7 linked regions of the Mus musculus genome follow. The protein of the gene in region 2 interacts with the protein of the main gene of each other region in a biochemical or structural test. Links are inferred from orthologs where the notes say so. Each region holds a gene or a part of one and is shown on either strand. Other genes may lie near its edges. The genes, in order: Cop1, Ube2d1, Trim32, Trip12, Znrf1, Rnf8 and Trim39.

Region 1 (3,843 bases), on a different chromosome or scaffold from region 2:
AGCACAGCCCTGCCCCTCGGTGCTTCCCTCTACACGGCCTCTCTTCTCTTCTCCACCGGTGGCGGCTCTTCCTCCTCAGCTTCCATGAACTCATCCACAGAATTCATTGTGTGTTTTCATTTTAAAACTTGTTTCCAATTCCCAAATGAAATTTTTCGTCACGTCTTTCATTTTATAAGCATGGTTACTGTGAGACAGGCGAGTTAACTGTAATCCAGAGCTGCCATCATTCTGTTTCTGTTGTGTGTGGCTATGCTGAATTTCTAGTTATTTTGTCTTATATTTCCTATGCCTCTTTAGTTGCTACTGTGCCCTGCTTACTGTATTTTAAAAAGCAAAAGAATAAATGAGAAAAGTAAGTATGTTAATTTTCTCTTATAGATAATTTAAGTCTGTGTTCTGGGCCCCAGCAGTCCAGGACCCCTCAGTCAATTTCAGGGATTCACAGGATCTGAAGTTGATTTCCAATGTGACAGTTTATCTTTCACTGTTTTACCCTAGACCACATTTCTTCACTTAAAGTCACACATGCAGTGTAGCTTAGGAACACTCGACTCCAACTTCTCTGAGTGTAGCTCATTCCTAGTCTGGAGAGTCTTCTGTCAAGTCTTAAGGCAAGTGAGGACATGCTAAGAAATGACCTACTCATTAATCTTGTTGTTGTGGAAACATCACATCATGTACTTATGCAAAGCTCCATTGTCCAGCCCAACTCTGTCCCCGGATATATATAAAATCTGTTGCTCCTAAACTACAATCTATATTATATGCTACTATATTAATACTAAGTAGTAAGGAGACTGGTGATATACTTAGAATTAAGTGTTTGTTTATACAAATAGATATAAAATGCTATGCTAAAATATGGTACAGAAGATGCATGGCATGTTATATTTACATTTATTTATATTTATACCTGGCAATGACACTGAGAGAACCTTCCAGACTGAAAGCTGCTCAGCATGAGTCAGTGTGCAGCAGTGACTGTTAAGGGCTACATCAGTGTCATCGAATAGACACTAATAGTACACTAATGCTATACTAACTATAAAAACACTGCCCCCGCCAGGCATTGTGATGCCTGAAAAAAAGAGAAAACCAAACCATTTACCCAGCTATACCTTAAAATCCAAGACAAAAACAATAAAACAACCTATTACGTGCACTCATAAACATTATATAAAATGCCATGATTAAAATACATATATGAAAACTTACCCCGTCTGATAGTGCCCGCCAACACACAGCACTGACAAATTCATTTGTGTCATCTTCTTTCCGATCTTTGTCTAATACACTCTTAACGGTATCAAACTTAAAAGTTAGCAAAGTTTTAGAAAGTCCTTTATAATACAGGTAGAGGGAGTTGTTCTCACTTCCTAAAAAGAAAATGGAATTGTTTTAGAATGGGAAAACTTAGATTGCATAAATATGTCTTTGAGTCTTTCTATATAGCACAGATTGTTCTTAAACTCACAATTGTTTCTTTCTACCTTTCAGATGCTGGGATCATAGGTGTATGGCCATCACGGCCAACTAGAATTACACTCTATCACTCTGCGCTGGAAACTGAATCTAAGACTTTTAGCTACAGTGAACTTCATTTCTAGCCCCAGTTCCCAAACACAACATTTAGACAGTGATTATTTATCTAAATTTTACTAAAAACACCAATTATCTTTTATATTCACATTTGAAAGACAAGATTATAAGACCAATTAGTTGCGAACTACAGGAGAAAAGGTACAACTATTATTTACTAATTTAAAGAAATAAGCATTGTTAAATGGTTTACAGTGTTGATAATTCTAAAACTGAAAAGAATTTATATTTTAAAAAAACACTTATAGCAGAGCTCTGTGCATTAGAATTTTCTTACTGAAACAAGAATCCTAAACTGCATTTGTAAATATTACCATGAAGAGAGGAAAATTAGGGTTGTAGTTCTTAAAAGGCCAATTTGAGCCAGGCAGTGGTGGTGAACGCCTTTAATCCTAGCACTTGGGAGGCAGAGGCAGGGAGCCTGGTCTACAGAGTGAGTTCCAGGACAGTCAGGGCTACACAGAGAAACCCTGTCTCAAAAAACAAAACAAAACAAAAAACCAAAAAAACAAAAACAAAAACAGACCAATTTGAGTAGCCCAAACTGATTCTCCATTCCCCACATAGCATTACCCTATCAGATGAGAAGTCAAGCTGACACACTTCAGGAGCCTCTGAGGATAATTGTACTGCATATTTACTTTGGTGGTATTTAAGATCATATATTTGGAGAAAATACAATTTATAGAATAAGGGCAATATCATTTAAAAGTGTTGACAGAAGTTCATTTACTCTATCAGAACATTTGAACAATAGCAAATTGAATTTTTCCACTTCCCATTTAAATTTGCACAAATTCTCTATAATAAAAACTCATGAATTAGATTCATGCAAGTCAAACGACTGCTACATCAAAAGGACACTAGAGAGGGTAAAATAAATATCAAGCTTCTGAAAAGATGTCTTCTTGAAATACTACTAGCAGATATTAATAGTTTCTACAGAAACTGTGGCATATCTAAAATGACAAGAGGGCAGTGAAAATCTTTGGCAAGTCTATGAATACAGGGCTCATCTGCAGAAATGAAAACTAATTCTCCCCAGTATGGCTAGAAAAGAAAAGAACACCGTCCTCAGCATCAAGGCTGTGATGCTGCCTTCCCAGTGCACAGACTGCAGTGAACACTGCTAGGACACGTCTTTGCAGAGTTTGTTTAAAAATACAAGTGCACTTACCACACGCTATATAATCTCCATTGGAAGCAAGGCCTACAAAGTTTTTTTCATTAATATGACCCTTGAAGGAACGTAGACAGTATGGTTTTCCCACATTCCACAGCTTTAGTTGGCTGTCTGTTGAGCTGAGAAAAATACAAAGAGGAGTAAAAATTTTAGATTTCATGGTATGAAACTATCACCACTAGGAATTAAAAAAAAAAAAAATCTAGATTTGTGGTTAAAAAGGCAGATTGTGGTGCCTGTGTATCATCTGAGTCTTGTCCCAATTGGCTCCAGTTTTAACAGTGAAATATGACATATGATGATCTATTTTATAGAATTAAATGAACCCAACACTGTAAAAACCGAACTCGTTTAACATGCTTTCAGTAATGCCTGGGTATGCAGAAAGCAAGCATTAATGGGTCCAATCCCAGCATCCCACCATTACATTAATAAATAATTAGACTTTGCCCTGAGAGATGTGTCTCACTTCAGGGAGACCCTCATGCTTCTCACTGTGATTGATCTGTCAACTGGTGAGTTACTGGTACAGTAGACATAAATTATTTTCATGCTATCCCCTACAGGTAAGAGGTATTGTTGCTGCTACATGATGCAGTCTATTGTGCTCAAAGAATATATAAATCTAGTTGCTTACCCAAAACAACCTCTTTTTTTGAAAAAAAAAAAAATCACTAGTAATTCTAATAGACAAAGGCAATTTTAAAACTGATACCATTTTGCAAACTGCTTTCCCATACTGATTTGCTTTCTTATACTTTCGTTAAGGGAATATGTCAATATATTAAGGACTACATAATTAAATCTTTTTAATTACATCTATCATCACTGAATAGGACACTTCGATACAGGTTTTACCTACTTTATTAAAGATTAAAAAACTTAGTGCTATTGTTAGCCCCATTTTGGAGATGAGAAAACTGAGGTTCACAAGGCTGTAAGTGAATAATTCCAAGATCTAAACGGTTTGATTTGAGCATTTGAGGTCTTTTAGAAATGTGCTTTAGGGGTTGGACATCAGAGGTGAAGTGCAATGGCTGGTCTTCCAGAGGTCCTGA
Region 2 (3,734 bases):
ATTTTCACTGATATTTCTCTTGCTTTTTTTTTTTTTTGTAAAGACAGAAGGGCAACTATAAACAGGCTTACTAGAAAATCCCTAACTCTAGCAATTTTTAAAGATTTGTTTTCCATTTTTAATTATGTATAGGCTAGAAGATCGAGTCTCCTGGAGCTGGAGTTACAGGTCGTCGTGAGCTGCCCAACCCTGGCGCTGAGAACACTAAATCAGGACCTTTGGAAGAGCAGTATGCACCTGTACTTCATCAAGCCTTCTCTCCAGCCTTTAGTTCCTGAATTTTAAATCTCTGGTTTCATTTAGACTTGCCCATCTATTCATTTTCCCCCACCCCACCCGAACTCCAAAGTTTACTGAAAACCAGCGTGACTAAAGAGTTCTTAGAAAAAGCAATTATCAAAACAGAAGAAAACACAGCAGGTTGAGGTATTTTTGTTTGTTTGTATGATTTTGTTTGTTTGTTTGTTTGTTTGTTTCAACCGCTGGTCCCAATCCTCGCCATGCCTATTTTTAAATCCGAAAAACAAAATTACCTTTCGATACAGTCAAAGCGGGCGACCACTGGGACCTCAGGATGTCAAGACAAATACTCCCGTTGCTGTTTATATTTGGGTGGTAGATTTTTGTTGTGAAAGCAATCTAAAGATAAAATGGAACAAAAAGGGTATTGGTTGCCACAAATAGGAGCAAACAGAACCGATCCACTCAAGGGTAAAAGGCGCTCATCTTTACACAGCTTTGGAGCAGACTTGTATACGCGCAGCTCAGCCCCTGGGAATCCGAAGGAGACCAACTTAGCTTAAGCTCCTTTTCTCCTCCAGGCGTTGGGAAGTGTCTGGGGTGTGGTGAGAAGTCTGCAGTAGCCGGTATGATGGGCTGAGTGACACCTGGACCAATTACTCTGGCTTTCATCACACCTCAAAACATTTCTCTTAACCTGACTGTCAGTGATACCCAGAAGGCCACTTGGATCTATAAACAGGACACAGAATCTGTCAGGGCGGACGTGGGATGCCTCAGCTTATCGCCTGTCCTTGGTGAACCACAGAGAAGCCGGGTCTTGACAGAGCCACTGTTGTGTGACGTCATCCGTATGATTTTTAAGCTGGGTGGTTTTTAAAGTGCTATAATTATTTCCCTGATGGCATATAAGTTCCTTTCCTTCCTTCCTTCTCACCCCCACCACTTGCCTCTTCTTTGGACTTTAAACCTCAGAAAACGTGTTTTCATCCCCTTCTGCCTTTCAGTGTCCCCACTGTGAGTCCCATCGTGAGGGGAACATGATGAAGCTCAATGTACATTCACTGAATACTTAAGTGTAGCCTGTAATTATAAAAAAACAATAGAAAAAAAAACCCAAAATGATCCATGCTATGGCCAACTAGGCACTGGCAACTGAGGTCTCCCCACCCCCATTCAGGGGGCCACAGGGGCGGATAGCTTGGGAAGTCCAGAGTGGTTTTACCAAGGGAACCAGGGCTGACAGCCGCTTGGGGATCCCCTTGGGGGTTGGGGACATAGCCGTTGTGCAGCCAGCCATAGCATGATTTTTTTTTTTTTAAAGTACACACTACACTTAAGAAAGCTGGGTCTGTTTTGGAAAGGTAACATTACGGATGGAAAAGCCTGCTTTCCTGACTGTAAAAACATTCCGAACAACTCATATCTCACAAGGAGGAAAAGCCCAGGAGCCTAGCAAGCATAGGAAAACAGCTGACTAAGAAAGAGCATTCTAGGGACGGAGAGATGGCTCAGTGGTTAGGAGTACCGGCTACTCCTCCAGAGGACCTGGGTTCAATTCCCTGCACCCACATGGCAGCTCACACCTGTTCTGTAACTCCAGTGCCAGGGGATCCGACACCCTCGTACAGACATACATGTAAGCAAAACCCCAATGCACATCAAATAAATTAGAAAAAAGGAGGGAGAGGAGGCTGCAGGGGAGAACTTTAGACCTGGAGGTCACACAAAGGGGCATGCACTTGCTAACCTACCTATGGTCTGTGACGTCACAAGATCACTCTAGACAAACAGTAAAAATCCCTGCTATGGGACAGATGCACAGGATAAATACCTTTGGTGGTTTAAAGGGATAGTCTGTCGGAAAGTGGACAGTGAGGAAGAAGACTCCACCTTGATAGGCGCTGTCAGGCTGAAATTACACGAGAGGGCGCATCAGACTCTGGCCACGGCACATACTCAACCCCTCTGAATGGTCCCCGGGAGTTAACAGTGGGAAGGATTTGCAGTTTCTTCACAATTCCACCAGTATCAGCTTGTAAAAAAACCCCACGATTCTTGCACCATGAGTTGGAGGAATTTCTATGGAGAACAGGCTCCTTCCCAGGTATGAAGTTACCCAAGGGGCCCACCAAGTTTAAAGGGAAGCACATGCGCATTCGCACAGCGGTGTGCTTTAACCAGACAGATCATGGGTCGAGGCCTGTGGGGAGGAAGGAGGATTCTCTAGAGCAGTCATCGCTGGTTTTAGAAGGTTACAACTAATATTTACCTTTTTAAATTTCAAAATATTAAGTTCTAATGTCTACACAGGTACAACCAAAGGGAAAAAGTGAGTAAGAGGGTTAAGTGGGTACCATTGTATGATTTACCTCAATATTCATTTGCAAGTAAGTACTTTATATTATAGAAGATAAAACTCTAAAACCAAGCTGGATGAATTCAGTGTTCATGATATGTTGAATTAAGAATCAACTTTAGTGTAATGGGGTGTGTGTGTGTGTGTGTGTGTGTGTGTGTGTATGTACATGTGTGTATATGTATGTGTGTATATGTACATGTGTATATATGTATGTGTGTGCGCATATGTGTGTATATGCATGTGTGTGTGTATGTATACGTGTGTGTACATGTGTCTACATGCAATTTATATAAACAAAAGAGAAAGATTAAGGGAAAAAAACCAAAATAGTAGCAAAATATATTCCAAATTCTATTTTTTATAATTTATGTATATGAGTACATATATACCCATATTTTATGTGTATGACTATGATATCTTCATGCACACCAGAAGAGTGCATCAGATCCCATTACAGATGGTTGTAAGCTACCATGTGTGACTGGCATTTGAACTCAAGACCTCTGGAGGAGCAGCCAATGAGTGCTCTTAACCGCTATGCCATCTCTCCAGCCCCCTCAGATTGTACTTTTAATTCCTTCATATTTACTGGAGTGCATCATGGGTACTAAAAACATGTGTGTCATTCTTTCAATCCTTAAAGTTCTAAGATTAGAGGGTTATATTGTCTAATTATTCTCACTACGTTGCTTAATTCTAGTTCATTAAACATTAAAAAAAAATGTAAACAAATGACAAAGACAAGCATGGTCCGCATGGACAGTGGAGTGACATTACAAAAGGTGGTGGGGCGGGTCTACACTGCTGCAATAAGAGAGTCATGCAAAACAACATCCCAACTGCTTGTTACACATGATTCACCTGAGATGTGCCTCTGTGCCACAGCTCTGATGGAAGCACACTGTTGGATGATGGGGCTTTGAAGGTTCATGCAGATAGTGAACACTGAGCCGGAAAAGAACTTACGTTCTTATTGAAAGCTGCTAGGTAAATATGCTGCGCTCTCGCTTCTTAATAGGCTAATTTAGTCATTTAGGATCATTCCTCAGGGGCTCTTCTTTGAAATTCAGCATCTTTTTTTTTTTTCCCCCAGTTTGGATTATAGGGCAAACGATTTAAAATTCGATGACTG
Region 3 (4,570 bases), on a different chromosome or scaffold from region 2:
TTTGCTCCTAAAGAAATTCGGAATCAAATATGACTAACCATGGCCTGTATACAGATTCTCATCTATCCCAAATAACACACTCTACTGTGGAAAAGGCCTATGGATATTTATATTCACAGAACAAAAAACTCCTAAGTCTTAACTTAAATGCATTGTGGGGGATATCAGGTAGATGGGCTACAGCAAGATAGGGAAAGTTCTTTTATCTTTTCCGGATGTTATAACATTCTTAGTGGAAGCTCATAGTCTTCTAACTTTAACTATACATTCCAATGGTTTACCTTATAGTCAGAAGATTGTTAGGCCAGAGTCATAGGTTGTTAATAAATGGCCATTAAGAGAACTAAAGCTAGCCCAAGATAAATTGACTATGTGTCTACAATATGTTTTATCCTTTCCCAGTTCTAGGTATTTGGTCAGTCCATAGAATTGCCAGCACAGATATAATTTCTTCAAGGAACTTTGAGTCACATATTCTCTGGGAAAGCCTTGGGAGTTCTGGGTGCCTGGGTTGGCTCAGGGCTCTAGAATTATCTGAGATATCAAATTGTACTCAGAATGTATAATCAGGAAATCCGGCCAGGGATAAAATCATGTGAGAACTCCTGAATCACTGAGAAGAGAAACAAGTTGGAGAATGAATAGCCTGGTTCAGAGTTCCATCAAAATCGATGCCAGGTGTATACCGAACCTTGGACAAGATGTGTGGGACAGGGGCGGGAGTGAGGTGGGGGAAGGGGATAAATTTACTTTTCCCACCTTTCTGAGTTATTAGTAACTCATCAAAACAATCCTTAACTTTATTTTGAGATAAAGAAGTAGAAAAATGAAGTTAAGAGTGATTCTGGGAAATTAAAGCCAGGTTCTGACAGGTAGAAACTGGTTACTTTGCCTTTTAACCCCTAGGTCTCAGCTTCTTTTCAAAGTCTGTAGTCTGTCGGAAAGTGTCTAAAGGTATTACTGTTTTTGTTTTGTTGTCTTATCATTGTGCAGAGGGTACACAGCTAGGTGGAATTTCAAATATGAGAGCATAATATTTCAGATTCCTTCATATTCCTCACTAGTACTGTGTGTTTATCGCATTCAGGAGCAGGTATTACCTGTCCACAAACTACCTTCAGGACCAGGAGGTCCTGGCCACAAAACCTCCCGTCTGACAAGGCTCAATGCAGGCTTTTCCCTGTTTCTCCCTCTGCTATCCGCCTCTGCGCTGTTTGGCAAAGAAAACGTCTTTCCTAAGGGGCATGTGTTCAGTGACTCCACTTTGGGATGTGTCACAGGCAGAAACACCTAGCCCGGGGACCTGCAGCTCTTTGAAGGGAGTGTGCTTGTCTTCTTCAAAGAGGCGTCTGTCTGCAAAGTGCCCGAACTTTCTGGAGACTACTACTGGGGGATTAGCATTGACTAACCATGTTTAGACTCTGAAACGGGGCAGAAAGCTGCAATGGCCTAGGTTTCCGGAGCCATCCCTATCTATTCAGCTGGGCCGCGGGCGCTGAGCCCACAGACCTACAAGCCCCAGCATGCCTCGGGAGGCGGGGCAAGTTGACGGGCAGGCGACTGTACGAATTGGCGACTGCCATGGGAAGGACGTGCTAGCGCATGCGCAGAAGGCAGCGGGCGGGTGGGCTGGCAGCGGTGGACTCGCGTCGGAGCTGCGGGCGGTCAGGTAGGGGGCGGGAAGGAGGGTCTGCGACCAGGGACTGTGGTGGGTCGCGGGGATCCAAGATTGAATGGCAGGATTTGGGGACTGGATCGGAGTGGCAGGATCGGATTCGGAAGGGACGGGCTCAGGAGCGATTCGGCGGAGATGAGATGCAGCTGGGGGAGGGGAGCAAAGGGGCTGAGGAAATTTGCAGTTGCAGCATGTCGGGAGGTATGAGGTAATGTGGGGGCCATGCGGAGAGACGGGGTGCAGCATGTGGGAGATGGGAGGATCTGACGTCCCTGGAGGTATCTGGGTGCAGAATATCAGAAAGCATAAAGGAATTTGGCAGGCCTGGATGAGGTTGGGTGTTGGCGGGCAGAATCTTAGGGGCTTTGAGGAGATCGGTGTAATGATAGCAAGATCTGAGATCAAAACAGCCAAGGTCTTGGAAGATCCTAATTGCTGAAGAGAAAGGGATTTCTGTAGCGGAATCTGGGAAAGACTGAGGGGTGAGTTCCCGAGGGAATCAGTACCCAGTTAGAAAATCGCAGCAAAGGTTTGAAGGCAACACGTGAGGCAGGACGGGGGCGGAGGTGGGGGGCGGGGGTTGGAGGTGGCCCAGTACAAGATGGGGATGATGGGCAGATGAGCGATCAGATTGAAGGAGGGCAGAAATCTGAGGTACAGGATTGGAGTTTGGAGATGGCATACAGGGGTGATAGATGTGGGAATTTGAAAATAGATTAAAGGATGTATTGGAGGGATGAGGGACACATAAGAGCTATTGGTGAATTGCAAGGCTGCAGCATACAGTCTAAAAGGTTGAATGATAGATTTGGGATTTAGCGTTGAGAATGAGGTTTGTGGAGAATGAATGGTGGGGAGTGAATGCTGTAACTAGATTATAGAATTCAAAACCAAATGAAATTTGTGAGTAGGTTCTTAGGAGGTTTTTGTTTGTTTTTGTTTTTGTTTTGGTCTTGGCATAACTGAACCCAGAGGGTCTTCTGGAGACCCAGGGACCTGAAAGTAATTTATAAATAAACTATGTATAAATGAATGGAATTTAGGAGAATGTAAGGGTTTGGGAATAAAGACACCAGTCTTCAGAAATCCTGAAGGAGAGTTTGACATTCTTTGAAGGGCAGATTCTTCCTCACTTACTAACTAAAGGCCCTTTAATCCTGAGGCAGGCATGTATTCTGACTATACCCACTCTGACCACCCCCACCTCCTCATCACAGACCCGATATTATAGGCCTTGGGGAAGAAGCAGTGAACTACCTAAGGGCTTCTGCTACCTAGCCTTTTCCCTGTCCAAGGTATGAGCCAAAATGATCTTCAACCTAATATTATCTTATAGGAGGTCCATTATAGCTCACAGAGACAATGGTTCTGGGTGAGAAACAAAACAAGGTTGGAACAAGGCGGAGCCTCCTGTCTACTGAGTATTTAGCCTGTGCCATTACCTAAAGCCAGGGTTCTCAGACAGGGTGCTTTTGTTCTGCCAGGAAACATTTGACCGTGTCTGGATGGAGGCATTGTCAGTTGTCATAGTTGAGGGGTTGTGTGTGTGTGGGGGGGGGGATACTTGGGGGGGGGGATACTGGTTTCTAGTGAACAACCCCTACAATAAACTATCATTTAGCTAGAAATGGCAGTCATGCCAAAATGGGTCCTGGCATCAGAGTCAAGAATGCTCTGGTTAGATCCTGGCATTATTTATTTATTTATTTGTTTATTTATTTATTTATTTATTTTTCTCTTTCTGCTTTGTAACCTTTAAAGAGTCAATTGACCTCTCAGTGCACAAGCTCTTCAGGGACCTACGTCATAGAATGGCTGTGAGGACTCAGTGTACTAAATCAGGGTGCTTACTGTTTGGTGCCCAGTAAAAGTGCTCAGAATTTACTACTTTTGAAAATATGTGTGCTTTCTTCTCATGATATTCCTTCTAAATATACATTCACTGTTCAGTGTTACCCACGAAACTAAGGCTTAGGAGGTCACTTGTCTAAAGCCACATTCCTGCCATGTAGCTCCCCGCCACATCCTCTCTTCCATTGCTGGTTTGCTGCGGTCGGCTTGGTCTTCCCTTTGCAGCCTCTCCTAAGGAAAGGGAGGCTTGCCCCGTAGTCAGAAGCTGGGTGACTTCTCTTGATTAAGAGAAGCCCTGGACTTTGTTCTTGCTTTGCTCTTAGACCAGAGCCAATGGGGAGATAGTGCAAGGAGCTTGGAGCTACACGGCTGAGATAAGGAGGGCTCAGGCTCAAGGGCAGTGCTAGACGGAAGGAAACTGCTCTGAATGTTCTCCTTTGTGCATCTTGTCTCTGGCACAGAAGGGCAGCATTGTCTTTATCAACTCCAATCCTAGCTACGCTACAGAAGGCAGTTTAGAGAACAAAATTAGACTGGAGCTGAGGGCAGAACACTTAGCTGCGATGACATCAACTCAGATCGCTTAGGAAAACACCTGACGGAGGTTGAGTTGGCCGTGGAATCGGCTGTTTTACTGCTTGCTTGGTGGTCAAGCACTTGCCAGCCTCTGTCTGAAAACACAGCGAGCTCGGCTGAGTGCTGATTAATGTGCATTCTCTCCATAAGGCCCACAATCTAAATGTTACTCCTGATTCTACAAGGCAGAAAGTGAAGAGCCACTTGTTAAATGACATATCCTGGGTTACAGAGCAAGTGGCTAATTTGGGCATATAAATCAGAAGTCACATGCTGGCAAGCCTCCTAGAGTGCACCCTCCTGTATGCAGATGGTGTTACCTTTGGGAGACTTCTTCCATTGTGCCTTTCTGATAGAAAGGTATGTTTTAAAAGTCATTCCTGGATGAATTTACCAACCTCTAAGCCAACTCTTACCTGCAGGTAAAAGTAGTCTTTTGGTCTGTGTTTTCGAGACAGGGTTTCTCTG
Region 4 (3,500 bases), on a different chromosome or scaffold from region 2:
GCCTGCTTGTTTCTTAACAGAATCCATGCCAAACTCATGATGGACTGAGACATCACATACCCCCACCCCTACCCCCATCCTCCATATCTCTCACTAATTGAGAAATGTCCTACAGGCTTGCCTGCAGCCGAATTTTCTTTTTTAAATCATGTCTTTAAATTATGTGAGACCATTGTTGCTGTTTTCAGACACACCAGAAGAGGGCATCAGATAGTTGTGAGCCACTGTGTGGTTGCTGGGAATTGAACTCAGGACCTCAGGAAGTGCAATCAGCGCTCTTAACCACTGAGCTATGTCTCCAACTCATATTTCATTTTTTCATTGTTTTTATTTTTTTGAAACAGGGTCTTTCATTACGGCCTGGCTACCCTGGAATTGACTATGTAGACCAGGCTGGCCTGGAACTCAGAAATCTTCGTATCTCTACTTCTGAGTGGTAGGAGTAAAGGTGTATGCCACCAAGCTTGTCCTCCTACAGCCCAGTCTTATGAAGGCATTTTCTTAATTGAGGCTCACTCCTCTCTGATGAGGATAGCTTATGTCAAGTTGGCATAAAACTAGACACAAAGGCATATCACTATTAAAGCACACCATTTTTTATTCTTATTCACCCCAAAGATTGCATGTTAACATCACAGTATAAAACAAGTAACTTTTAAAGTTCCATAGCCTTTACAAATTCCAATACATTAAATGTTCAGTCTTTTAAAAATGCTGGGTGGAAGTTGTGCATGCCTTTAATCCTAGCACTTAGGAGTCAGACACAGAGGATCTCTTGAGTTTAAGGTCTAAGGGGCATGTTCTAGAATAGCCAGGGCTACACATAGAAACACACACAGACACACACACACACACACACACACACACACACACACACACACACACACGACAGAAAAAGAAAAAAAATCCAGTCTTGTCACCTCCTGTTGAAATCAAAATTATTTTAAATACTTTTCTCTCTTCAAGAGGACATAGCCACAGTCTGAACAAAGCAAAATCAAACTCTTAACTATAAACAACTCAGTTTCCAAAATCTGGGATTCATTCAGTTTTTTGGAGTTCCTTCAAGGGAGTCATATTTCTGGTTTCCTCTGCAGGAAACACTGCATGTCTTCTAAGCTCCACTTCCCTGCTGCTGCTGTTCTTATGCCATGGTATTGGCACCTTCAAAATGTTAGGGAGTTCTGCAACTGTGATATACTTTCACTATCTCTTCAGCAATTTGAGTCCTGCCACATAGTGCCAGACCTCAGCTGCTCTTCATGACCCCTTCTTGCTTTCAAAACCAGTACCACATGGGTGACTCTTAAACTACCAAGTTCAGCTGCCAGCTCAAGGTATAACCCTGGTCACCTCTGGAACACAGCTGTTGTGTGCTCACTCCAAGGAAACACTTCCTCAGAGGATTTCATCTCAGTGATGTTAGTTTTTTCATCACCATTAATTTTACAGCTCCACCTAGCCACCATCTGTTGTCCCAGTAGCAAAGGTTTCACTTCAGTGGTACTGGTATCTTGTTAATCACAGCTGAGTCTTAGCCCTAGCTGATAAGAGCCACAGGTTCTTAATTCAAATTATGCAATGGACCTGATAAAGTCTGTAATCTTCTCTCAAAACTTTCCTCTGGAATTTCACAAGCGAGGCCTAACTACATTCTCTGTATTTCTCAACATTTTTATCTTCAACTTCCACAGTACAGATCACCAGGGTTTGAATGCTCAATGGCTTTTTCAACCCAAAGTTTAAAAGGTCGTTCCACAGTCCCCTTAAAGAGAACAAGGTCAGGGTCTAGCATAGAAATACCTCAAAATCCTAGTACCAATTTCTTAAGTTTCTGTCGCTGTGGTGAAACACCATGACCAAAACCAAGTTGAGGTTCTCTCAGATGTCTTGTGTCAAGTTGACATAAATCAAGTCAGCACACGTTTTCTTCATGTAAAGAGTTGAACACCTCATTTCTTAAATACATAGTGTGGGAATAGTGAAGGGGAATAGCTTTATGAGGTTTTGATGTAGGAATTTTCAGAAATCAGAAACACCATTGAGGAACCGGGTATTGTATGTTTTTGTTTTTAAAAACAGATGAAAGCTATGGACCAACCCATTTATGGATATAGAAAGAGATTTTGAATTTATTTTATTTTACAGAATGCGATGTGCAAGGAGATTATTCCAACTAGTGAATTTATTAACAGTAAATTAACAGCAAAAGCAAATAGGCAGCTTCAAGACCCTCTAGTAATCATGACAGGAAACATCCCAACATGGCTCACTGAGCTAGGAAAAACCTGGTAAGACAGTCCTTTGATAAACTTATAAATATTAACATGATAGTCTTTTATCATGACTTGTGGTAGAAAAGATGTAATTGATTTGTTCAGCTCTTTACCAGTATTATAATACTTGTTGACAACAATACTTGTTGAACCCATTGAAGGATATTTGACCGCAGTAAAGTCCTTTGCCTTTGTAAAAATGGAACTGCAGATACATGATTGCTTTTTGTTGTTGTTTGTTTTTTAGCCTTGTTTGAACTAGATACTATAGACCAATTATGGTAAAATCAAGTTAGAAATAGTTTTTATGTGGATTCACCATATCTACATGGTGTGACATTGTACCAAACACATTTAAATTAGCATTTCAGGAGCTTTTTACAAAAAGAAAAAAATGGATCAACCCTTCAAAGTCACTGTTGGAATGCTGGGAGATTAGTTCTTGACAATGACTTTCCAGTGCTAAGCCTGTGGTGAAGATCATGAAATACTAAAGCCATTACCTTTTGTATGTGGGATTTCAGGAAGAAACATTTGTGATATTGCAGTGGTGCGCCACCATGGGCCTGTCCACATGAGAGATTTAAGAGGACTATTCTTGCTAGGAGTTTATATTAGATGTTGTGTCCAATATAGATTAAAAATGTCTTCTGATTCTCACCTAGATGGTAAATTTGTATTTTATCTTTTATAGCCCATTTTTCTTTCCTTTTGATACCCGACAAATGCTTTTTTATGTAACTGCATTTGATCGGGACCGGGCAATGCAAAGATTACTTGATACCAACCCAGAAATCAACCAGTCTGATTCTCAAGACAGCAGAGTTGCGCCTAGATTGGATAGAAAAAAAGTAAGTATTTCCCAAGAGTATTTATGTTGATCTTTCCAAAGTAAAGGCAGGACCTATTTTGCCTGTGGAGTCACAGCCTTCACTTGATCCTAATGTCTGTATGCCTGAGTGTTCATGTATGTGCCTAGAAGAAAAGGTATTAGGTCTACTTCAGGTGGAGGTTGTGAGCTACCTGGCGTGGGGGCTGGGAACCAAGTAGCAAGAACTCTTAATTGCTAATTCAGTCATTCTCTTTAAAAATCACTCATATGTTAAAAGTGTTACCTTCTTAAAACTCTAGCCTTTTTTTTTTCCTTTTTTCTTTTTTTCTTCTTTTTGGAACATTCTTTCTTTAGTTACCATGTTTATTAAGACTTTAATGTCTTCTTTCCCA
Region 5 (4,435 bases), on a different chromosome or scaffold from region 2:
AGGCCCGCAGTCAGTCAAACACTGAAAGCCCCACCTTTGGAATCTTACACAAGAGCAAAAGCTGCTCAGACCTAACTCCAAGGCTCCACAGCCGAGACAGCAGCGAAACAGCAGCGTCTCTCCTTGCAGCCAAGAACAAGAGAAAAGGATGCCCCAGAAAATTCCACGGCCTGTTCTAACACTGACACAAATGAATGCTCACCTCTGCTGAACAGCACAGGCAGCTCACAGTCAGACTGGTACACCCACCCCAATAAAAGCCATTTGGGAATTCAGAGGCAGTATGAGGTGAACTGCAGGATGCCAGGAGCATTCAATAGGCCCAGAGTCTTGCAAAAAGCACAGGTGGTTCTATATACTAAAAATAAGTAAATATATACAAATATTACCTATAATGTTAACAAGAGCCTGCCACGTACACTTTAAAGACACCCAAAGGATGACTCTAACTTTTCTTGTATTCCCATCACTCAGTGGGACTCCCTACTCCCGTGACTGGGTGGGAGTAAGATGGTGGGGAGAACACTAAGCCTTCATATCTGGAGAGTGTGAGATATTGGAACTCAGTTGTAAGTTCATAACTCTATCAGAGAACCTGACAATAGAACAAGGATAATGAAGTTTCTATTAAGAGACAGACTTAAGAAATCTTACCAAAACGATAACTCCTTTTCTCCCTCCCCATATAAGCTTTTATAAAGGTATTTGCTTGCTGCACTCAAAATTGTTTTAAAAGCATGCCAATAACAGTTCACTTACAAGTGTACTCATAATCGTCTCGAAATAAAGCTGAGACTTCTGGACTCAACTATTTAGGGAAGATTATTAATTCCAACATGCCCAACACAGACCAAATGACTAGAGGGTACCAAAAGCAGACATGCCTTGTGTCTGATGTCCAGCATTTTAGTTAAAGTCAAAGAAGCTCTAAGCCAGCCACTATAACCCACCAAAGTTACTTCAAAAATTATGGAATTGATCAAAAGAAGGAAAGATACAAAACCAAACAAGACAAAACAAACCCTACCTTGTTTTGCAATGAGCTACAACAGTGACCTCACAGGTAAGCCCTCCATAATGGACCCTGAGGACAGGAGAATGATTTCTCCTACACAGCAACAAAAATTGCCCAGTTCAGGCACAAGAGTCTGAATACTTAACTGCTTCACTCAGACTGGTAGTTAACAAGCAGCAACCCCACACCCCTTTTGACCAGTTTTCTAGAGGCCTGCCCTGGCTTCTCAGGACAGCCAAGCAGACAGACCTGTTTTCCTGTAGAAGTCTCTGCCAGGCCTTTGCTGCCCTACCACCAGCCAGGGCCTGGGAAATCCCCCTCCAGCCTTTTCCTGGCCTGTCACCAGAAGTGCACAGAATGAGTTCATCTCCATCCTTTCCATCTTCCTCTTCCCTAGTCATGTGCCAGCTGTGGGGCAATACCACCCCACCTCTCCTGGGCTCTATGAAAAGAAAAAAAAAAAAAAAGATGCACAATCACGGGAAGAACAAGCACTTATCGTGGAGCAGGGGAAAAAAGATGGAGGGATGTGAGAATCCCTGAGCCAAATCTACTGCATGCAGACCAGAATCCTGGTCCTGCAAACCCAAAGACGGAGGCTTTCCACATAGCAGACCACACCTGTCTAAGCCAGCCTCCTGTTCCATTTTAAACAATTGATACAGCAAACCAGTCGGGTGGAAAAACAAACCACCTCCCTTTCCTAGCGAGAATAAGAACCCTAATCCAAGAATCACTCGCCCCTAGTTTTATTTCTTTTCTCACTCTTTGTTTAGGAGACACTACCTCCTTAACCAGAAAGGTAGGTACCATGCTGCAGCGGCAGAAATGAAGAGTCTCAGACAAGAAGACCTTTGAGGATCATGACGCTAATAAATGCGACCTCAATAGGCAGGTTTCACTCAGCCATCCACAAGTGAACACATGCCTGCAGTCCTAAGGTACCCGGCTCCACACGCCTAGTAGGCAGCTTTCCCCCTAGGCAGTAGTTATCTTATTTGATCCTATTCATCCTCTGACATGGAAGGAACCAGGGGAAGGGCAGGAGTTAGCTTCATACCCATACCTTAGCACATTAAGAGGTTTCGGGCGCCCCGGCGCGCCCTCCCTTGCACTCCACCCTTCAAGGCCTCCGTCACCCGCGGACTCACCACTGTGCGAGCTGAACCACCTGGGTGCGATGTGCAGAGGTAGAGCATCCGCCAGCGAGGCTCGGGAGCCCAGGTACAGCATCCCGTCTCTATGGTGACCGCCGCCGGTCTCTTGGTAACCATTGCCGTGGGCATAGGTGGAGTCCGACGTGGACCCTCCGCCGCCCGGCGCCCTCTCGGAGTCGCCGGTCCCGCGGGAGGCGGGGGTGTAGAGACTAAAGGGCACCCCTCCGGCCGTGCTGGGGTCCATGCCCATGCCCGCCACCGAGCTGACCGAGCGGCTGCGCAGCCCCATCGCCCCGCCGCCCGTCCGGTAGTGCCCAAAGTGGGGCGCCCCTCCCGGCGGCGGCACGGCGCTGTCATCCGTAGAGACCCCCGGGAAGGGGCCCCGAGAGCGGGCCGCCGTGCTCTGCTTGCCCCCCATGTTCGCCGGGGCCCCGGTGGGGCGGGAACGTGGAGGCTGAAACCCTCCCCCACTACTCAGAAGCGGGTGGAGGTCTGGGCGAACATAAAGGCGGAGGGTTGGGGTTGGGGAGAGTCACAAAAGAGCCCCGAGGGGAGAAAAATGAAAAAAGGTGAGGGGGGGAATCCTCAAAAAAAATCCGCGGGGTGGAAAAAGCAAGCGAGCGGGGACCCCAAACTAAGAATTTCAAACTGTCCAAGCCGAATGCATGTTCCCCTTAAGGTCCGAAGAAGCGCGGTCCAGAGCCGGCGCCTCGCGCCACAGGCCGCCCCCGGGCTCCGGAGCCTAAGGAGCCGCAGCGAAGGGAGGGAGGAGCCGGAGGAGGCCGCTCGCCCGCAGCAGGAAGCGGCGGAGGCTCCGGGCGCCGCGCCGTTCGCGTCCCCCGTCTCAGGACTCCTCAGCCCGCGCCGGCGGCCCTCACTCCTCCAGGCTTCGGGAGGGCTCGCGGCGGTGGGGCAGCCAGGCGGAGCTCTGGAAGCCGCGGTCGCGTGGCGTCGCGCTCCGGCTCCAGCCGCCGCCGGCCCCGCCAGCCAGCCGCACCGCCCCGCTCCGTCCCGGGCTGCGCTCGCCGGCGCTCCTCGCCGCCGTGGAGACAATGGAGGGCGGCAGAGCGCACGCGCGGCCCGCGCCCCCTCCCTCCTCCCGCACCCCCCCCCCCGCCGGGTTAACCCCTTCGCGGCCCCTGCGGCGCAGCAGCGAGCTGCGGCCTTGGAGGTCCCCACCCACCTACCGCCTGCGCCCCGGGCGGTCCAGGGACAGGACGTCTCCAGCCGCCGGGCGTCTGCGACAGAGGTCAGACTTCCTCTGGATCACAGCTCTGCTGGAGTCGCGGCGAAAGTCGAATCAATGTCTTCAAAACGAGACCCTGAGTGGGGGGAGGGGTAACGACGGTTTTAGCGGGTAGGAAGGAAACACCGAGAAGAAAGAAAAACCAACTAATAAAGCCTACCTGGGTTTGAAGGGTCACTGGGGGAGCTCCCCTCCCGCCACAGACCTGCCCTCACAGCACCCTCTGGTGGATATGCTGTCCATTCGTTTGGAGGTTCTCCATCCAAGGACCCCAGCCAACCTTAGGAAGTTTAGCATGGGGGGCGGGGGGGGGGGGGGAGGAGGGAATCAGCTTGGACCCAAACACATTTGGGATTAGCTGTTAGGAGATACAACAGTGCCCCAGTGGCGCCTAGACTTTGCTGTCGTTAGATCAGAACCAACTATTTGGGTCTGAATCGATTCCTTAGGCTAGAATATAATCCTCAAAATCAATAGGTGGATTAAAAAAAAAAAAAAAGTAAGAACCATGCAGCGGGAAAGCTGTTTTAGAAACTCCTTGCCCAAGGCCGATTGCTGTTTTGTTTATCATGTATTTTGACATAGAGCCATATTTTGACATAGAGCCACAAGGCAAGGGCACAGTACTCAATAAATATTTGTTGACCAAATTGCATTTTGCAACAGAGACTCACCTTGCCAGGTCAGTCCCAGTCTTTCTCATATTTTCACTTTGCTTATTCTTTGAGCAAATAATTTTTCAAGTGCTCAGCTCTGAGCACCGTAAGCATCACCCAGTCACTAACCTGACCTTCTCTTGTCACTCTGTCAAGTGGGCTCCGTGCTTCCGAAAATGGAATTGGAGGGAGATTTAAAGGGGCTAATAGACTTGTCTCTTCCAGTGTGACTAGCCTGGAAGGCCACAGAAAGATGGTTGTTTGCAAGCACAGAGTGCTGGGGGTGAGCTAAAAGCTTCGAACAAGCTGGGCAGTGGTGGCCTATGCCTTTAATCCCAGCACTTGGGAGGCAGAGACAGGA
Region 6 (3,843 bases), on a different chromosome or scaffold from region 2:
ACTGTAAATTAACAGAGGGTGGGACTCTCTGTTTAGGGTGTCACACCATCACTGAGCAGAATTCTCTTTAAAGGATAGTGGGTTCAGAGAGGAGAGTGACTGGGATTAATATCCATGGCTACTCTGTGCTGAAGGGACAACTGCGAAGTCTTTCCTGGGACTCAAGGTTAAAGGCAGAAGAGACTGGTTGAGATGCATGCCTGACGCTGCGTGGGAGCTCAGCTCCCTCTGCCCTCACGGTAGCCTGGCCTGACATTGGGTTTGGAATTCTGCTTGGTATTAAAAACCCAACTTTTTTTAATCATTAAGTAATTTGTGCTCCCTATTAGCACATTGGAAGAATGGTTGGCTGGCACATCAAATTCCAAATGAGTTGAAATCCCCCACCCTGTAGGTAATCCCTAAGAACAGAGACTGCCTGAAAGAAGCTGGCGGAAAGGCAGCGGAGGCTCAGGCCTGGGCAGAGAGTGCTTGGAGAGGGTGGGTGGTGCAGAGGGACAAGACAGGGAAGGAGTGTGGGGCCAGCCTTGGGGATGTATCTGAGTTTGGGTGTTTGTGGCTCTGTTCTCAGACTCCATTTATTTGAGTATTATGGCAATAAAAGCAACTTAGACTGTCACCCCGTGGTGCTTCAGAGCTGCCGGAAGCCCACTCCTGAGGCGGGTGATGGTAGTGGAGCAGATAACTGCTCGCATCCCTTGCTGAGAGCAGTTTGAAGTAAACTGGGATCTTCCTGCCCGCTTCCTGCCCCATGTTCCTTGTGGTGCCGGCTCCTAGGTTTTGTTATCTTACACCCTTGACTGCAGAAACCTTCCATTTCGTTTTGGCTTTTCAGGGTTTGGAGAAAGAGCAAGGAGAGTGCGACCTGAAGCAACAGCTGGTGCAGGCCCTGCAGGAGGTAACATAATCTCTACCCTTTCCTTCCAGAGGCTGTGGTGGTTGTGAGTGGGGAGCAGCTAGGCACCACATGGCCACTAGCTGCCTCTGCCTCTGAGCCACTCATCTGTGTTACCGCCAGGCTGCAGACAGAACAGGTGCCAGGTGCTCACACCATCAGGCTGGAGATTTGGAGCTTCACAGATACACAGCAGATCTCAGCGTGGAAGCTTACGGCTTCATCAAGGCACCACCTGGTGATGACAGAAGAGCCTGTAGACGCTCTCTGGGATGGGGACTCTACTTCCAGATTAGTGAGGGCAGCAGTTAGCCATGCCTGGGCCTTAGGGCCCGAGAGAGCCTGTGTACCTCACCATTCCTACACTGTGGCATCCAGAAATCATTCAAGAGGATTCTCCTCTTAAAAAAAAAAAACCCATTAACAGAATAGTGCTTGCTCCTTCTGGTGTGAAGCTCTCCAGCAGACTGCCAGTGGTTTATTTCACTGAACCCTAGTGTTGGGGCCGGCCAGCAGCTCACGTGTCCGGGTTCGAGCCTGAAAGGCATCTTGGAATCTGGAAGAAAAGAGGGAGCCTAGGCGGATTGAGAAATAATGGAACCAAGACAACTATTCTGCTCAAATTTGAACTAGGTTCAAATTTTTAATGGTGGACAAGCTTTATAAAAGACTGGGGAAAGTCCATTCCCGCCAATTCATCCTTGGAGCCTGGAACCAGCTGCAGGTGATGATGTGAGGGATAGGGCGTAGTCTAATAGCTGCGGGGCCTCTCAGCTGGTAGCAGTATCTTGAAGAGGAACAGCGACTGTGGCTCAACAGTCGAGTGATCTAGGGAGGAAGGCTCCACCCTAGATAATCTCCCTAATGGCTGCAAGGTCAGGTTCTGGCTCAGCCTGCTTCAGGTTTATGGGAGGCTACATCCTAGGGCTTGACAGCCTTTTATGTGCTCCTTATACCTTTAAATCTTCCTTCAGCTGGTTATGGAAGCACACACCTTTAACCTCAGTACTCGGAGGCAGAGGCAGGTACATCTCTTGAGTTCAAGGCCAGCCAGGTCTACATAGTGAGACCCTGACTCAAAAAACAACAAAAACTTGCTTCATCTCTGAGCTTTGTGATCAGTAATTTGGTGGATTTTCGGCCGAAAGGTTAGTGAGATGGTTAAAGTCTCATTGAGCACAGTGAGCGGCTTACATATAATTTGTTCAGGGTTCTCTCTGTTTGCTCATTACAGACCTGTCAGCCTTATCGGTACTAACAGTTATGTGAGAGGGAACCTGCCTAGATTTGCTTGTGGGCAGATGCATAAATGGCTTCAGAAATAATTAGGTGAAAATTCTATTTGGATTTTATTTATTTATTTATTTATTTATTTATTATATGCAAGTACACTGTAGCTGTCCTCAGACACTCCTGAAGAGGGAGTCAGATCTCGTTACGAGATGGTTGTGAGCCACCATGTGGTTGCTGGGATTTGAACTCCTGACCTTTGGAAGAGCAGTCGGGTGCTCTTACCCACTGAGCCATCTCACCAGCCCTGGATTTTATTTTTTAAACTTATCTACTTCATGGGTTGAAAGGATAGGCATTGTTCCCATTTGAGTATTTAAATATATGTTTATTTTACTGTCTGTGTGTGTGTGTGTGTGTGTGTGTGTACAAGCATTCACATGGCACTGGAGACTTGGTTGCCAGCACTCAGACAGCTTACAGCCCCTTTAACTCCAGCTTCCGGAGACTGGATACGGTTTTCTTCCTCCCAGGTCGTGTGAACACAGATGGCTTATACTCATACACACACAGTAAATAAAGACATTGTGTGTGACCACGGGTGCTTGTGTACCACAGTATGTGTGACGGGAGCTTTGGGGAGTGGGTTTCCCCCTTCTCCATATGGACTCCAGAAGTCAAACTCAGGTCTGCAGGCTGCACTGCAAACACCTTTACCCAATGAGCCAGCACACTGGCTTCCTAGTGGGTTTTTTTTGTTTTGTTTTTTTCTAGACAGGGTTTCTCTGTGGAGCCCTGGCTATCCTGGAACTCACTTTGTAGACCAGGCTGACCTCGAACTCAGAAATCCGCCTGTCTCTGCCTCTCAAGTGCTGGGATTAAAGGCATGTGCCAACACTGCCCAGCGCTTTCTAGTGTTTTTAAACTACTGCTTAGATGCTTTGAAACTGGCCAGAAAGTCAGGCTTTGCCCCTCTGTGAGGAAGGCCTGGGGTTTTGTGCTCCCTTGTAGCACACCGCACCTGTCTCGAGGCTTGGTCATGCAGTCACGCATCAGTCTGAAGTGGTATCGGGCATACTTTCTGACCTTGTCTGACATCGTGCTTGTGCTGGTGTGGATGACCCCTCTGAAGATACTCTCTTTTTCAGACTGCTAGAACTGTAGAACCCATAGTCACAGTGACACCACTGCTGGCTCTTGGGCGTGCCAGCTCGTAGACGACAGTGGCTGGTCTAATCGATCTGCTGTCCCCTCTCCCCTGTCCTGAGCCGTCCATCCTGAATAAAAGAAGGCTGGTTTTGAAATTGTCATCACTGGTCCCTAAAGTAAAGCGACCGAGCAGAGGGAGGAAGCAAAGGTGTATGGCTAACAAGAGGGTTGGGACGCAGCTCATCCTGATGGCTTACCTGCTCTTTCTGTAGCATCAGGCTCTAATGGAAGAACTAAATTGCAGCAAGAAGGACTTTGAGAAAATCATTCAAGCCAAGAACAAAGAATTGGAGCAGACCAAGGTACGGGATGGAGGACAGAGTGCAGTGCCTGTGGCCCAGCATTCTGTAGAGTGCGTGGTTGCTGTGGTGAATGCAGACGGTGTTCCTTACCTCTGGGAGATAATCTATAGTTACTCACTGTGAGGCAGCATCCCTGTCCTTCTTTGGACCCTGCATGCTAGCCTTTGTCTAGGGCGGAGTCTCCATTCGAAGCTGTCTGTCTCCCCA
Region 7 (4,527 bases), on a different chromosome or scaffold from region 2:
CAGATGTATACAGTCAGGAAGGGACTACTCAGAGTATATTCTCAGCTGCCCTCCCCAACCCCCAACCCTAGCATCATGGGCCTGGCTGCCTACCTTGTATTCCTGTGTAGCATCATCCATCGGCACGACGGTGTGGGGCCGGTGGGTATGAGAAATTGCACATATCAGACAGACAGCCTCCTGGTCTTCATAGCAGAAAAGGCTAAGAGGTTCGTGGTGCTGGGAGCAGAGGCTTTCATCTCTGATCTTCCGCTTGACCGTCTGGAGCTGCTTGGCGATTTCCACCATACTGCCTAGCTGTCGGTTAGGCCGGAGACTCCGGTATCGGGATGTCTTCCGACAGACAGGGCAAGGGAAGTCCCGCTCTAGGTCTTCCCACCAGCGGGTAATGCACGCTTTGCAGAAGTTGTGCCCACATTCAATAATAACTGGCTCCTTCAGATACTCTAGGCATACAGAACAGCTTGCTTCCACCTGCAGGTTCTCCAGAGCAGCGGCTGTGGAGGCTGCAGAGGTTCCAGCCTCTAACAGACTTGTCTCTGCCATTATAACTTGGAGGCAGGGAGAGAGGAAAGAAGTGTTAGTTGGAGGGTTATTTTGTTTCCTGACATTAGCTCCCAGTAAGCCATAGGTCTAGATGAAGCCCCATCTTGGTATTCTCCCATTTCCACCTTTTCATCTGTTGGTCTATTTACAGTGTGTGTGACCTCTCCCCATCACTGTTATTATTATTTTATTATTATTTTGAGTCAGCAAATATCAGCAGTGCCCAGAATTTCTTTACCTCTGCTTTTTCAATACCAGCAATGAAAAGGAGCCTGATATGGCGACTGAAACCCATTTCCCTAGCCATTTTTGAGGTCAAGGTAGGGGGACTGTCATTAGCTGAAGGCCAACGTAGGCTACACAATGAGTTCTAGGTTAGCTTGAATTACACAGATCTTATTTCTACAGGGAGGGAACCATGGGAAATGAGATATGTCACATAAGCCAAAGTATTAAGATTTTAGCTGGGCATGGTGGCTCACTGTGAGGCAGGAGGATCAATACAAGAATAAGGCTAGCCTGGGCTGTAGAGTAAGATTTGTAAAACAAATAATATATCTACATATCTATTAAAACTGACTATCAGCCCTAGAACTCATTACTACTTTAAAGAACTTCATATATAATTACTGCATCGATTTCAAAGAACCCCAAGCTACTTCTTCTAACGTCATAGGAAGTTTATTGTTTTAGAGTCTAGCCTTGATTGTCTGCTGTTCCTCTTAATGAGTTACACTACAGTAACACACTGTTTCAGGGAAAGCATGACATGGTTCTTCCTTTCCCCAAACTAGCCCAAAGGAAGAACGCTCTCTTCTTGAAGATGCTCCTGTCACTCACCGCATTTCTATTTGTGTGCAGCTGGGATGGCTGCAAAGCAACAAATACATATCAGCTCTAAGGAAGCACCATTGAGTGCATTGAGGGCAGCAGCTTCTTGGAGAGAGAGCTGGCAAGTACATTCTAAACATTCAGTGGTGACTGCAGTCTTTCAACGTCACTACTGATAACTAACTCCTTAGATAGTCAGTGATTAGGAAGGAAATTAGCCAGGTATGGTTAATACTAGGTAGGTAGCGCATGTACCGAGGAGGCAAAGGCAGGAGCCTCAGGAACTCGAGGCCAGCCTAAATTAAATATAACCAATAAATAGTTATTGGTCTCAATAAATGAATAAGTGTATGGAAAGAGACAACCAAAGCTCTCCATTCTTAAGATGTCAATACATAAGTAAGCTAATTTATCTGGTCCCATAACCCCCTACTTTCCTTCTGTCCCAAAAGGGGCCCCCCAAAAAGGAAGGAAATTTGATAGGTCTACCCATCGACAGAAAAGTGCCCATGTAATGAATTGGGGCAACAATGATTATTTCTGTATACTGGTGGTACAAATGGAAGGATTTTAAGTAGGAGTTGGTAACTTATCCTCTTTTAATGGAGAAAAGAATTGATCCAGATAAGTACAGTTGGATGATTTCTTTCTTCTCTGCCCATTAGAATCCAGTTTTGACTAGTGACTTAGCCTCCTCCTCCTCAATCCTACAGATAAGTGGCATCCTCACCTAAAACTGAACCATATTCACACTTGAGAGACCTGCATGTATCTAATTAGCAAATAGATGGTATGAGAGAGAAACGGGCTCAAGGATAGTGAAGAACGGAGAGGATTTGGAGCTGGGGGTGGTGTGGTGGTGGTGTAGAGGGCAGCCATAATATGGCCTTGTGCTCCTCTGGCTTGATCCTTCCTCCCACTCTCCATTACTCGATCTCAGTGTAAGTAATCGCGTCAGAGACGTCCACGTTTTGCCTTTAATCACTATTGGGTACCACCTCAGGAGCCTCTTTCAAGCACTGGCCACAACTCTGTCCCACCCGTTCTCCATCTTCTCCAGCCATATCGGGAGCATGAGGACCAGAGTGAGGGAGCATACGTCGTGCTTGGCAGGGAGGAACGGATGCGTGTCTAAGTGAGGGAGAGGTGTGACGTGAAGGTGGGATGCCCGCTGCCATGTCGCAGCCCAGACCCGCGATGACTGCGTCAGTTTCACCCGGGGAGACCAAAGGCAGCGGGACAGGGGAACGGCGGGGTAGCCAAGCAACGCCGGACGCGCTGACGTCGCCGGGGCGGCAAACGTCCTCCGGGCCCGAGGCGGGCGGAGGCAGCTGTGGTTGCGCGCCGGCCGGCTGACGTACTCGCCGGGCGTAGGGCCGCGGCGAGAGGAGCCCGCTCGCTGGAGCCGGCTGCGGGACCCTTGTGGCGGCGGCGCAGCACCTACCTTCCCGGCTCCGGGTCCCGGAGTGCCGGGCGCGGAGCCGCCGGAGCACTGCCTCCCTCCTTCCTCCTCCCCTCACCCCCGCCCCGCGGCGCGACACACAATACTCGCCGGAAGCGGAAGCCGCGCTGCGGCGATGGAAGACAGCTGCGCGGCGCCGAGCCGCCGTGCCAGGGCCTAGTCGGGCCCGCGGCGGGTGGCGGGCGGAGAGCCGGAGGCGAGGGCCTGCGCGGCTAGTTTACCGGGCGAGAGGGAACCCGCCGCTTCCCGTGGCTGAGGTGCTGGCGCCCAGGTGACCAGAGCGGTCCCCCGGAGACTGAGGGCCGCGCATGCGCGTGGCGAGACGCCGAACCCCATGGCGGGCAGCGCGCCGTGGCTGGGCTGGCAGAGCTGCGCGGTCAGCGAGCCCGCAGAGGCTCAAGCTGGTCCTCGGTGGGGCTGGGAACCGCAGAGGCCTGGGCGGCTACGGGTTGTGGGCGTTGGGCCACACTTTCCCGGTCTCCGGGTCAATTCTGGGGGAGGGTTGCTGTTTAAGGCGGCGGTGTATTACGTGGCCGACCTGAGAGTCTATGCTGGCACGTCACTTCCGACTGGCTGAGGTTTGGCAATTTAACCGGCAAGCTGTAGTAGGTGAGTTATCTTGGCTGCAGACCGAGGTGCGTCTTTTCCCCTCCTCCGGTTGGGTGATGTATTAGCCAGGGGTTCTCTAGAGCTACAGAACCTAGTGAATGTTTCTCTCTCTATAATTAATCGTGATGACTTACAGGCTAACCCAACAATGGGCAGCTGTGGATGGGAAGTCCAAGAATCTAGTAGTTGCGCAGTCCCACGTGGCTAGTTCTTTCAGCTGGTCTTCTGTAGAAGTAGGTTCCGACAGATGTGCTGGCAAGTAAGTGCAAGCCCGTGAAGAAGAGAATCTTCCTTCTTCCTATGTCCTTATGTAGACTTCCAGCAGAAGGCGTGGCCCAGATTAAGGTGTGCACCACCTTGTTTGGATTTGGGACTTGCTTTCTCCCGGGCTGACTTTGAACTCAGAGAACTCCTTGCCCCAGTCTGGGATTGAAGTCGTGTACTGCCTTGCCTGGTCCTAAACTTAATGGCCACTGTACCTCAAGATCTCCATGTCAAGATCCAGGTCAGAAACTTGTGTCTTCCAGCCTCAAGATCTGGATCACAGGTGAGCCCTCCAATTCTGGGTTGTAATTCCTTCCAGATAGTCAAGTTGACCACCAGGAGTAGCCACCACAGCTGACATTAGCGAAACGCTTTCCCTGGCTGGAGCTGGAGTGTAGAAAACCGGTCTAGTTCGGTGCTTTGCTGCCCCTGCATCTAGGATGCCAGGAGGACCAAATCCTGTGCTCAGGAAACACTGGGTGGGAACCAAAGCCTGCTTCTTTCTCTTTGAAGACCTTGCTTAAGTTTCTCTGGGAGAGCAGATGGAGCTTATGGATAGACTCCAGACTTGCACATTGGCCTCCTTGTTGTGTTTTATAAAAAGATAAGGAGAGAAGGAGTGTGTTTGGTGGAGGTGTAGTCAGGTGTGGGAGGAGGGGTGCCTCTGCAGGCCCATGCTGCCGCATCCCTCCCCCCTGAGGGACCAGCCACACGATGACGATGGCATAGTATAGAATAGAGTTTATTCAGGGAATGGGGAGGGGATTTGAGAGGGTAGTAGAGACGGAGAAAGGTGGGGGGGGGGGGGGAGAAGA

Evidence for each region.
Region 1: the proteins of Ube2d1 (region 2) and Cop1 form a complex in vitro, tested with the Homo sapiens proteins (2 studies listed by BioGRID). The link is inferred for Mus musculus from reciprocal best matches to the Homo sapiens genes UBE2D1 and COP1.
Region 3: the proteins of Ube2d1 (region 2) and Trim32 form a complex in vitro, tested with the Homo sapiens proteins (4 studies listed by BioGRID). The link is inferred for Mus musculus from reciprocal best matches to the Homo sapiens genes UBE2D1 and TRIM32.
Region 4: the proteins of Ube2d1 (region 2) and Trip12 form a complex in vitro, tested with the Homo sapiens proteins (5 studies listed by BioGRID). The link is inferred for Mus musculus from reciprocal best matches to the Homo sapiens genes UBE2D1 and TRIP12.
Region 5: the proteins of Ube2d1 (region 2) and Znrf1 form a complex in vitro, tested with the Homo sapiens proteins (2 studies listed by BioGRID). The link is inferred for Mus musculus from reciprocal best matches to the Homo sapiens genes UBE2D1 and ZNRF1.
Region 6: the proteins of Ube2d1 (region 2) and Rnf8 form a complex in vitro, tested with the Homo sapiens proteins (2 studies listed by BioGRID). The link is inferred for Mus musculus from reciprocal best matches to the Homo sapiens genes UBE2D1 and RNF8.
Region 7: the proteins of Ube2d1 (region 2) and Trim39 form a complex in vitro, tested with the Homo sapiens proteins (2 studies listed by BioGRID). The link is inferred for Mus musculus from reciprocal best matches to the Homo sapiens genes UBE2D1 and TRIM39.

The regions. Positions count from the first base shown.
Region 1 is NC_000067.6:159,326,138-159,329,980, reverse strand, and holds part of Cop1 (E3 ubiquitin-protein ligase COP1), read right to left. Parts: intron 2,905-3,843; coding exon 2,780-2,904; intron 1,380-2,779; coding exon 1,219-1,379; intron 1-1,218. UniProt on the Homo sapiens protein: E3 ubiquitin-protein ligase that mediates ubiquitination and subsequent proteasomal degradation of target proteins.
Region 2 is NC_000076.6:71,257,668-71,261,401, forward strand, and holds part of Ube2d1 (ubiquitin-conjugating enzyme E2 D1), read right to left. Parts: intron 2,153-3,734; coding exon 2,075-2,152; intron 640-2,074; coding exon 534-639; intron 1-533.
Region 3 is NC_000070.6:65,603,401-65,607,970, forward strand, and holds the start of Trim32 (E3 ubiquitin-protein ligase TRIM32), read left to right. Parts: upstream 1-1,585; 5' UTR 1,586-1,669; exon of another isoform or gene 1,670-1,883; intron 1,884-1,915; exon of another isoform or gene 1,916-2,157; intron 2,158-4,570. UniProt on the Homo sapiens protein: E3 ubiquitin ligase that plays a role in various biological processes including neural stem cell differentiation, innate immunity, inflammatory resonse and autophagy.
Region 4 is NC_000067.6:84,738,305-84,741,804, reverse strand, and holds part of Trip12 (E3 ubiquitin-protein ligase TRIP12), read left to right. Parts: intron 1-2,148; coding exon 2,149-2,291; intron 2,292-2,970; coding exon 2,971-3,127; intron 3,128-3,500. UniProt on the Homo sapiens protein: E3 ubiquitin-protein ligase involved in ubiquitin fusion degradation (UFD) pathway and regulation of DNA repair.
Region 5 is NC_000074.6:111,535,296-111,539,730, reverse strand, and holds the start of Znrf1 (E3 ubiquitin-protein ligase ZNRF1), read right to left. Parts: upstream 3,092-4,435; 5' UTR 2,591-3,091; coding exon 2,167-2,590; exon of another isoform or gene 2,082-2,166; intron 1,430-2,081; exon of another isoform or gene 1,398-1,429; coding exon of another isoform or gene 1,265-1,397; intron 1-1,264. UniProt on the Homo sapiens protein: E3 ubiquitin-protein ligase that plays a role in different processes including cell differentiation, receptor recycling or regulation of inflammation. Mediates the ubiquitination of AKT1 and GLUL, thereby playing a role in neuron cells differentiation.
Region 6 is NC_000083.6:29,628,125-29,631,967, forward strand, and holds part of Rnf8 (E3 ubiquitin-protein ligase RNF8), read left to right. Parts: intron 1-835; coding exon 836-898; intron 899-3,546; coding exon 3,547-3,636; intron 3,637-3,843. UniProt on the Homo sapiens protein: E3 ubiquitin-protein ligase that plays a key role in DNA damage signaling via 2 distinct roles: by mediating the 'Lys-63'-linked ubiquitination of histones H2A and H2AX and promoting the recruitment of DNA repair proteins at double-strand breaks (DSBs) sites, and by catalyzing 'Lys-48'-linked ubiquitination to remove target proteins from DNA damage sites.
Region 7 is NC_000083.6:36,268,516-36,273,042, forward strand, and holds the start of Trim39 (E3 ubiquitin-protein ligase TRIM39), read right to left. Parts: upstream 2,919-4,527; 5' UTR 2,822-2,918; intron 2,263-2,821; exon of another isoform or gene 552-2,262; 5' UTR 547-551; coding exon 94-546; intron 1-93.